Saccharomyces cerevisiae S288C: one gene and its partner. The gene in region 1 interacts genetically with each later gene. Each region holds a gene or a part of one and is shown on either strand. Other genes may lie near its edges.

What was found. A genetic interaction does not mean that the proteins touch.
Region 2: of RNY1 (region 1) and ATG2, changing one suppresses a phenotype caused by changing the other (phenotypic suppression), as found in Saccharomyces cerevisiae (one study listed by BioGRID).

The regions. Positions count from the first base shown.
Region 1 is NC_001148.4:317,141-320,684, forward strand, and holds RNY1 (ribonuclease T2), read right to left. Parts: upstream 1,806-3,544; coding exon 501-1,805; downstream 1-500. Other genes in the region: SPC29 (Spc29p), read left to right, coding at 1-376; TFIIH/NER complex subunit TFB2, read right to left, coding at 2,086-3,544. UniProt on the Saccharomyces cerevisiae protein: Rnase which modulates cell survival under stress conditions. Released from the vacuole to the cytoplasm during stress to promote tRNA and rRNA cleavage and to activate separately a downstream pathway that promotes cell death.
Region 2 is NC_001146.8:189,464-196,821, forward strand, and holds ATG2 (Atg2p), read left to right. Parts: upstream 1-1,860; coding exon 1,861-6,639; downstream 6,640-7,358. Other genes in the region: SLA2 (Sla2p), read left to right, coding at 1-1,494; ZWF1 (glucose-6-phosphate dehydrogenase), read right to left, coding at 6,963-7,358. UniProt on the Saccharomyces cerevisiae protein: Lipid transfer protein required for autophagosome completion and peroxisome degradation. Tethers the edge of the isolation membrane (IM) to the endoplasmic reticulum (ER) and mediates direct lipid transfer from ER to IM for IM expansion.

The sequences.
Region 1 (3,544 bases):
ATCACAAAATGTGATAGATGACCAAAGATTAGAAATAAAATATTTAGAACGAATCGTATATGACCAAGGCACTGTCATTGATAATCTAACATCAAGAATAACAAGACTGGAATCATTCATACTGAATTCGATCTCAGACAGAGGAGATAAAAATTTTGCCTCTCTCGAACACTCCCGCTCTTTTTCTGGGTTTCCGACCAACAAGACGTATGGCTTACAAATGGGTGGACTGTATGAGAATGATATGCCCTATCGAAGAAGTAGCGACAACATTAATAAAGAAGGAGCAAGAGAAGATCGATCGTCACAAATCCATATTGAAAATGAAAGTACGGAGGATATACTAAAAATATTGTCTTCGTCTTTTCACAATTGAATTAAGTACTTAACTAAATAATACCAGCATAATCGTAACTAAAACTAAAATATAGATATACGCATTTCAATCTTTTCTTCTCAGAGAAGGGTAAAGCTAAATGAAGTTTTCAATCGGAAAACTTTTAATTTTTGATGAATTTTAATTTAAACTTATATTTCTTGGAATTTTGTTCATCGTCTACAGAGAAAATGGGGCTTTGATTCCTTCTCCTTGGATAGGTGTCACCGCCCCAGTTGTAGTTACCAGAATAACCAATATATCCGTCTCCTCCTTTCGTTGGATCAAAATCGAATTGACCTGCATCCTTAATGTTCCTGAATTTGCAGACCAATTCATTAGATGAAGACGAAATAATGTCACAAAACCCTTGGTTAGTTCTCAAGTAGTAATTCCCATAGGGAGATTTAATCAACTCGTAATTCGCTGGTGTACCTTGACTCATCCAGTGTCCATTCTTGATTAGAAAGCCTTGCATCTGATCTCCATTATTAATATTTGATAGACGAACGACTCCTCTGTATCTTGCTCCCTTATTAGGTCTCCTCCTGAAAGTTGGGACATAACCTTTTGGAAAAAACTTAATACCATCTTTTTTACAATTTGTTCGAATGGCAAGTGAGTCCATGGGCACAAACATTTCGCTCAAAAGGGAACCCTTCAAGTGGTTATAATACCATACTTCGTTTAAGGAATTATGTCTATCACAGCCTATGAAGACTTTTTTTCCTTCAAACTCTTTACTTAGTGCTGCCTCTATCTGCTCCAAAGAATAGGAATTGTCCACACTTGGGACAATATTATTTTTTTCTAGTGTTGAAAATGTGTCCAATTTCTTGAATAGATTATAAGTTATTCTAAAATAATCATAGACCGCTCTTTTTCTGTCAACACTATTAGCACCCCACTCAGTATAGCACTCTGGTCTAATTGTGCTAATGCACGTGCCATGTTTATTAAACTCGTGTATCCATAAGGACTCATGATTCCCGTTATTACTCTTCCAATATAAGTCTAGGTATTCAAGCAGCTTTTCGCCCGATATTTGCAGGGATGTATCATTATTATTAAATTTCTTGTCATGCAATAAGTAGTAAACATCGTCAATTTGTAAGGACCTATTACAGAATTGTTGGTAGCCACCATGACAATTATCTGGCCATAATCCGTGAATTGTAAATGAATCTAGAGGCCCTAACTCCTTCACTAATTCAGTTTCATTTAAATCGTTTTTGCTTGGAAAGTAATTCCAGAATTGGGTTTGTAAAAATATTCCACCTGGATATTCAAAACAACACGAGTTGTCTATATCAGTTTTATTGGAACATGATAATGGAATGTTTATAGGGCAGTTTGGTTCTATACCCTTATCTGCTCCATTCGAAAAAATTGGTAGTTGTAAGAGACTGTGTAAGTTTTTCAGTAACATTGACACAGTACTTTAGTTTGAAATATCTTAAATAGTTGGCCTTGCAATAGGTCGAAAGTTGAAGCGTTAATTATAAATTCGGTAGTTCCCCTACTTTTCGATAGGTTTGCATTTAAGGGATATTTTAGGAAAAGCTTAGATACCGAAATTTTGTTGATAGAGATGCAAAAGAAGAAAGAATGAAAAAGGAAAACAATTACTGCGCAAGAAAGACGCGTGTGTTAGCGCAATTGTTACGTTGAATGCATTGATATGTAGGGGCATATATATGTATATATACTTATTGTTTCTTTTTCAACTTTCTTTTAGCGAAATCAAGTACTTGAGAATTACCTTCCTTTGAGATGAAAAATTTCTTCTTTTTGTCGTCTTTCCACAACAAAACACCGATATCTTGAGCGTACTTACTTAGTAAGTTGTATTCTTGACTAGTCTCAAAATCAGAATATAAGGAACCTTCATATGTAATGACTCTATCTAACTCTAATTGCCATAATCTGATTTGATCTACGACGGTAGGAGGCAAAACTTGTAAAGGCTCCTTACAGTTGGGGTCCAGCTCTAATTTTTTTTCTAGTTTCTCTTCTGCCAACCTTCTCATTTGAGGATGTGCATGTGTCTCCAGATAGGCAATGATTTGGTCGGCAGTGATACCATTGGTCAATGCTCTTCTTATGGATTCCCTTGTTATTTGACCCAATACCATATTCACAAATCTTGCCTTTAAATGAACAAAAAGAGACAAAACAGCAATTTGCAGAGGTGAATTAGAATATGAATAGATTTTGAAATTTGTTTCTACAATCAATGAGCCATCGGGTATATCTTGATTTTTTAGACCTGCTTTGTTCAAATCATCTGATGTAGTGATATCTGTTGTGGATTTCCCGTTGGCGCCGTCTTCATTTACTGACGGCTCTTCTCTATTCTGTCTCAGTACACTATCCATCGCATTGGAGGCAGATCTGATTGTCTTGGTATCGGAAGTCAGCATCAAAGCTAATTTTGTTGGATAAAAAATGCTATCATTTGAATGCTTCTGGAATACCAAACCATAGTCTCGCATATCTTGTAACATAATTCTTTGTGTTTCGCTTAATGCATCGATTTTATAGGCTTTGCCAACTTCCAATGCGCCTAACATGAAAATAAAATGTAAAACATCGACTAAATCCATTTTGGACGTTTCGATCATTTTTAAATATTGCAATAATAATGTCCATAATTGGGAGTTGATTTCTTGTAAAAGAAATTGGAAGCCTTCATTAGTGATTTTGAACTCTCCAGTAGAGTTTACCTCTTCCATTAGTTTACTGTGTTTTAAAAGGTTCAGTACTTTTTCAGATGGGATTTTAGCGAGGGGAGTGCCAACCATGAAATGTAATATTGTTTCCCATTTATTAGCTGAATATTCATCCAACAAGTCCAGGCTAACTACGTTTTCCTCTACAACCACACCGAATGAGTTTTGAACTTCCCCACCCGTTAATGCGTTCCTCAGGCTGATTTTGAATGTTGGGTTTAGGTTGATCATCAAAGTACCAGATGATTTATTTGGTATAAGAAGATGCAAAGACTTCATCGATTTGATTGCATTCTGAAACTGCAATTTACCATTAGAGTTAACCCATTTATCTAAATCCAACAAAGGTACTTCATTTTCGTTGAAAACCATTGCCATGATAAAAAATTTAGCTAGTGGTGGTAAAATTCTATAGATAGCCAGACATGTAGCTGGT
Region 2 (7,358 bases), on another chromosome or scaffold:
GATGTTTGGGAAAGAAAATATGAGTCTTTAGCCAAGCTATACTCCCAGTTGCGTCAAGAGCATCTAAATCTTTTACCTCGTTTTAAAAAACTGCAGTTAAAGGTGAATAGTGCGCAGGAATCCATTCAGAAAAAGGAACAGTTAGAACACAAATTGAAGCAAAAGGATTTGCAAATGGCCGAGTTGGTTAAGGACCGTGACAGGGCAAGGTTAGAATTAGAAAGATCCATTAATAATGCAGAGGCGGACAGTGCAGCGGCGACAGCAGCAGCAGAAACAATGACTCAGGATAAAATGAACCCTATTCTGGATGCCATATTGGAAAGCGGTATCAACACCATCCAGGAATCGGTCTATAATCTCGATTCTCCTTTGAGTTGGTCGGGTCCGCTGACTCCACCCACTTTCCTTTTGTCCTTATTGGAAAGTACTTCTGAAAACGCCACTGAGTTTGCCACCAGTTTCAATAATTTGATAGTAGACGGCCTTGCACACGGCGACCAAACAGAGGTCATACACTGCGTTAGTGATTTCAGTACTTCGATGGCTACACTGGTGACCAATTCAAAGGCGTACGCCGTTACTACATTACCTCAAGAACAGTCTGATCAAATTTTGACCCTGGTGAAGAGATGTGCCAGAGAGGCCCAATATTTCTTCGAGGATTTGATGTCTGAAAATCTTAACCAGGTCGGTGATGAGGAGAAAACTGATATCGTCATCAATGCCAACGTGGACATGCAAGAGAAGTTGCAAGAGCTATCTTTGGCTATCGAACCGTTATTGAACATACAATCTGTCAAATCAAATAAAGAAACGAACCCACATTCTGAATTGGTTGCCACTGCTGACAAAATTGTCAAATCCTCAGAACACTTACGTGTTGACGTTCCTAAACCATTGTTGTCATTGGCATTAATGATTATTGATGCTGTTGTGGCTTTGGTAAAGGCTGCTATTCAGTGCCAAAATGAAATTGCCACCACGACAAGTATTCCTCTGAACCAATTCTACTTGAAAAACAGCAGATGGACAGAAGGTTTGATCTCCGCGGCAAAGGCTGTGGCAGGTGCAACCAATGTTTTAATCACTACTGCTAGTAAGTTAATCACTTCTGAAGACAATGAAAACACATCACCTGAACAATTTATCGTCGCCTCCAAAGAAGTGGCCGCATCCACAATACAATTGGTAGCAGCATCGAGAGTGAAAACTTCCATCCACTCGAAGGCCCAAGATAAATTGGAACACTGTTCCAAAGATGTTACCGATGCATGCAGAAGTTTGGGTAACCACGTCATGGGTATGATTGAAGATGATCATTCGACTTCGCAACAGCAGCAACCATTGGACTTCACATCCGAACACACATTGAAGACTGCCGAAATGGAACAGCAAGTGGAAATTTTGAAGTTAGAACAATCCTTGAGCAATGCCAGGAAGAGATTGGGCGAGATAAGAAGGCATGCCTACTATAACCAGGATGATGATTGATCATGAATTGTACTTTTTATATATAAAGATAAACGTTAATATAAATATATTTATTTGAAGACGTCTTTTACGTTTTTCTGTATCTGATTGGTATATGCGTTCTCGTCCGGGGACATTTTTTCTTTTTTTGGTGCGGCGAATGGAAATAATCGCGATAATGAATATGCAAGGAACAAAGAACAGACACCCCACCCTTATTATCATATCACATCTCTGTAGGAGTCTACCATTTTGCTTCTATTGTAATCTTTGCGACTTTATTTCAACTCACCATTCATACAAAATTTCTACTGCCGTTTAAAATAAGGAAAGCATAAAGATTAAAGCAAATTAAGAGGAACCCTTTTTTTTTTTGATTTCGATACAATGGCATTTTGGTTACCTCAAAATATACAAAAGCGGCTGCTTCTTTACGTCCTTCAGCAAATTTCGCTGTTCTCCAATATAGATTTATCTAACTTGGACGTTTCTATAGGGTCTAAGTCACATTTCTCGTTCCATGATGTGAATCTGTCACTTGATGATCTCAACATTCCAAACGTGCAAATAAACGAAGGCATAGTTGACGAGCTTGTGTTAAAATTAACAGTTTCTGGCGGTGTGGAAATCGATGGGTCTGGTTTAAGATTTATCATGACACCTTTATATTCCAGTGGCTCACAGGAACTTCACTCAGATTTTTTGGTTAAAAGCATCCAAGATCTTACGAATTCGATGTTACAATTTAGTGATCCATTGACCACATATAATAGGTACAAAGAAGATGACATTAGCTCTTCAGACAGTAGTAGTGATCTCAACTCTAATATAGAAGCTTCAAAACCAGCCGCAAATGGTTCTTATACTCTTCAAAATATGCGGAACAAGGCCCTTAATGTAGCCTTAGCGAAATTGAAAATAGCATTAAAGGACGTTACCATACGTTTCATAGTGAATGATAGAGATCCTTCCGATAACATTGTGGAGGTTCATCTAGAAAGCATACAACTTATTACTACAGACGCAAATTTACGACATATAAACATTGAAAATATCACCATTTCCTCAATACAAAAACAAGCTGTACCCGACTCTCCTGTGCATCCTTTCAATAATGACGATCTGTCACAAAGCGTTTATTTATCAAAAATGGAGGCTACTTCACTTTATATGAGCGCCATGGAAGAGCAATCAAATGAAGACCCCAGTGAACCCCAAGTTACACAAGAAGAACAAGAGAATGATAAGTGCAAGGAATCTTTAATGGAAATAAATAATTTGAACATAGCTTTTAAGGGTTTATCATCGGTCAATGATCTCAGAATGTCTAATATTGTTATTGATATTCAGGATGTTCATTTAGCGATACACAAAATTGTCGAAATCAAAAACTCCACTTTGAAGAATATTATAGATATCATTGTTACACATTTGGATGCCAATGAAAGCTTTTCTTGCCAGGATTCCCAAAGTCCTTCACCTGACAAGCAGGAACCATCAGCTCTTTCTTCTGTTGATATCAAATGTATATACTTAAACTTAGGCCAAGATATCACAGTAATTTTGAAGAGCTTTAAATTAGAGCAAAAGGAAAATAATTCATTGGCATTTTCTTTAGGCTCATTTTATTCTAATTCGAGTCCATTGACAATTAGCCATAAAACTAAGCCATTGCTCACTGGAGAACAAACCCCTCAAAGCATCGCATTAAATATGGGCGACGAACTAGATATTATTATCAGTCATGATGGCATTGCGCATTTCTTTAAAATCTTTCAGTTTGTTTCAAAATGTATGTCCTTTTATCAGAATAAGTCAAAAGGGATGATGCCTCAAATAGCATCGGATACTAAAAGGACCGTACAACTTACCTCAAAAGCAGTGAAGTTGTCGCTTAAGTTTCCATATTTTTTATTATGTTTCCAGGTTTCACCCTTCATTTACGACTCTAACCGTGAGTTGTACATTGAGCTTGTAGACGTATTTAAAAAACTACCTTCTCGGTGCACGAAAATATTGACAATGTCGAGCATTACGATCTCGAACTTGCAATCCCCTCTACAACTGGGTTCATATGACGATACTTTGAAAGAAGCGCTAATTTATAGTTCTGTCCATGCAATCATCAAAGAAGTGATATTTAACGAAGAATATTCTGGAATAGTACAATTAGTCGAAGATATTTCTGCGTTTGGAAAACTTTTCACGGATTCAAAGAACAGTGAATGTACAGGAAAGTCTAAAAGCAAGAGAGGCTCCTTTTTGCAGAGAAGTGTCAGAGTACTTAATTCTTCCAGGTTCGTTTACAAGCAGAGTTTATCCGCTAATTTTTCTCTCAAGATAGATTCCATGAAGTTAAAAGTATCAGAAATTATAGGGCCGCAATTTGGTTCTGTGGAAGCATTACTATCAAATAATTTCTTTGCGATTACGGATGACTCTCAAATTGTATATTTTACAAAGAACTTAAAGGTAGAAAGAAAGACACCGTCATTATTAGAGCCACAAGAAATCATGTCAGTAGTTTTGAATAAAGCAGTTAACGAACCTGTACTATATGTTCATAGAAGGGCGAATGGAAAGTTAAAAGTCATTTTTAACAACATTCGCATACATTACTATGCAAGGTGGTTAGAAATACTAAAGAAAAACATCGGCCCGGATAATGCCAGTTCAAAAGATGAACCTGTTTCACAAAAGCTTAGTAAAAAACAACCGACTTCAGGATTTCCCTGGGAACTCAAATGTCTGGACTGCTCTCTAATTCTGCACCCTTTCAGATTAAAAAGTGTAATGGTCATTGTACTTGACAATCTAACAACTGGTGGAAGTTCATTTATTCCGCAGGCAAAGCTTCTTTCAAAGGCGAATACACTCTTCCTAATAGATGACTATCAGAATTTCAAAATTCAAAAAGATAAGAACTGGCCTAGTTTGATAAATTTTTATGCTGGTCAAGGTTTCTCTGCAATCGGTAAAATAGATACTTTGAATTTTTTAATAAACAAATCCGATGGTGCCCTTTTATTGGATTGTAAAATAGAACAAGTTGGTCTTTCATTATGCGCGGATTCTTTTCAAACTTTTTGTCAGCTTTGTATTGATTTAAAATATCCTCAGACGTTTCCTGATGAGGAAAAATTTAGAACGCAGTTGAAAAATCCTATCGATGTATTCAAAGACATCGATTGTGATCTTTTCAATTCTGCCTTCATCCGGGAGAACAATCATCAAAATGATTACGACTCAGTGCATTTGGTAGACAGTTTTCTCGACAAAACTCACGAGTTCAACAATGGTGCCAGAAGTAAACTATCCTCTCAAGGTTCATATGAAATGGACAGTTCCTCTGGAACTGCCACAGGTGGTATTTTACTTCCCCATGAGAGTTATCTAGACTCTGCTCAGCCAAAAGAAGAAGATACTCCACCAATCGCCTCAAAAGAGCAAGAAAGGGATGTGGATATAAGGGGTAGTATAGATGTCGAAAAAGTTGTTATAAAACTATTCGATGGGTATGATTGGAAATATACGCGGAAATTTATCGCTAATACTGTTGAAAAACTGGATAAAGAGCTCAGTAAAGCGGAAGCAAGCAGTTCGAAATCAAATGTACCCCAATCAGAGGCAAATATTTTTGACTCTATTTATATATCTGCTAACAAAAACAATGTCACAGATTTGAGAAGAAATCTTGATGGTGAGATCCAGGGGGTTCAGAATTCCTTCTCTGATGTCTCTAAAGTTAATTTGCGACCTTCTAAGCATTACAAAGCCCTGATTCAATTGAACAAAGTACATGTCAATTTGAAGAATTATCGAGTAGATGAACCCGATGAGTCTAACTCTGATAATTCCACAGATGTTTTGAACCGATGTGTAGTTTCCATTTACGAATTTGAAATTATCGATAATGTTCCCACGTCCACCTGGAATAAATTTGTAACTTTGCTAAAGCACGAACCGTGGCCACACAGTTCTCCGATGTTTCTTCTGGACCTGGAATTTATCCGGCCGATCGACTTTTTGCAAGCAGTGGAATTAGTCATGCAATTAAATGTTGCGCCTTTACGCCTTCACGTGGATCAAGACACTTTAGAGTTTCTAATAAGGTTCTTAGGGTTCAAAGATAAAAGATTTGAATTAATTGATGAGTATCCAGATATTGTATTTATTCAAAAATTTAGCACTAATTCAATTAAGTTAAGATTAGATTATAAGCCGAAAAAAGTTGATTATGCGGGTTTAAGATCGGGCCAAACTTCTGAATTGATGAATTTTTTTACCCTTGATGGATCCAAGATTATTTTGAAAAGCGTAGTCCTGTATGGATTAAATGGATTCGATGAATTAAATAATAAACTGAAAGCCATTTGGACGCCGGATATTACCAAAAAGCAGCTGCCTGGCGTTTTGGAAGGACTGGCTCCTGTCAGATCGTTTATGGCGATTGGGTCAGGGGTGAAGACCCTAGTCACAGTACTAATGTCAGAATACAGGCAAGAAGGGCATTTGGGAAGGAGTCTGAAAAAGGGTGGCAATGTCTTCTTGAAAACGACAACGGGAGATTTTGTGAAATTGGGAGTTAAATTAACTTCAGGGACACAGGCGATATTGGAGAACACCGAGGAACTATTCGGTGGTGTTGGTTCCAATGGCAGGGTGTACGATGCATCGAAATTTGGCTCCGCTGATGGTGCAGACAGTGATACTGCAGCTGTATTAGACTTGGATACTTTATTCGAGGAGGATCAGTTAGTTGGTAGTAAATATTCCAGGATAAGAGATCATGAGCCCACGGCAGTAGTCATCGATATGTCTTCACCGGGAGATCACAACGAACCCACAATAGTGAGTCTGTACGCAGATCAGCCCCTCGACCTGCCCACGGGTTTGAAGGAGGCGTATAGTTCATTAGAAAAGCATATGCATATTGCGTACGATGCGGTATGGAGGGCAAAGGGACAGATGAAGGATGATAAACGGGGAGGGCCGAGCGCCGCAGCAGTTTATGTTGCTAGAGCTGCACCTGTGGCAATTATTCGGCCGTTAATTGGGGCCACTGAGGCAGTGTCTAAGACTTTACAGGGAATAGCTAATCAAGTGGATAAGACGCATAACGAGCAAATCAATGATAAGTACAAGTCCAATCGGACTGATTCGTAAAAATTTTTGCAGACATTTTTGATATATATTCAATTCATATTTTATCTCTTTTTTTTTTTTTTTTTTCAGACGTGGAATGGTGGGAAAGCCAAAATGTCACTGACCGCGGCTAAAAGTTAAAAAATACATGAGACGACATTCTTTTATGTATATATATTTACACATGTATACAAACAAATACACACGCAAGTAGAGAGGAGTTGGTGGGGGGAAGATGCCATTATAGAGGAGAAAAGAACAAAGAGAGTGAGCTTGCAAGATAAAATCACTCGAAAAAAAAAATTTCAGTGACTTAGCCGATAAATGAATGTGCTTGCATTTTTCTAATTATCCTTCGTATCTTCTGGCTTAGTCACGGGCCAAGCGTAAGGGTGCTTTTCGGGCATAACATACTTGTGTTTTTGCATATATTCCTTCAATCCCTTTGGACCTCTTGATCCGTAGGGGTAAATTTCCGGTGTTGGACCGTCCGGACGCTCTATGTGCTTCAGTAATGGGGTGAATATGCCCCAACTGATATCCAATTCGTCATCTCTGACAAAGTTGGAATGGTCACCCAGTAGGGCGTCTCTTATCAACACCTCGTAAGCCTCTGGAATCCAAAAGTCTTGGTACCTGCTTGCGTAAGTTAGATTCAGATCTGTGACTTGGGTAGCATTTGACAGACCAGGGGTCTTAGCATTAAACTTTAGGTACACAGCGGCATCGGGCTGCACTCT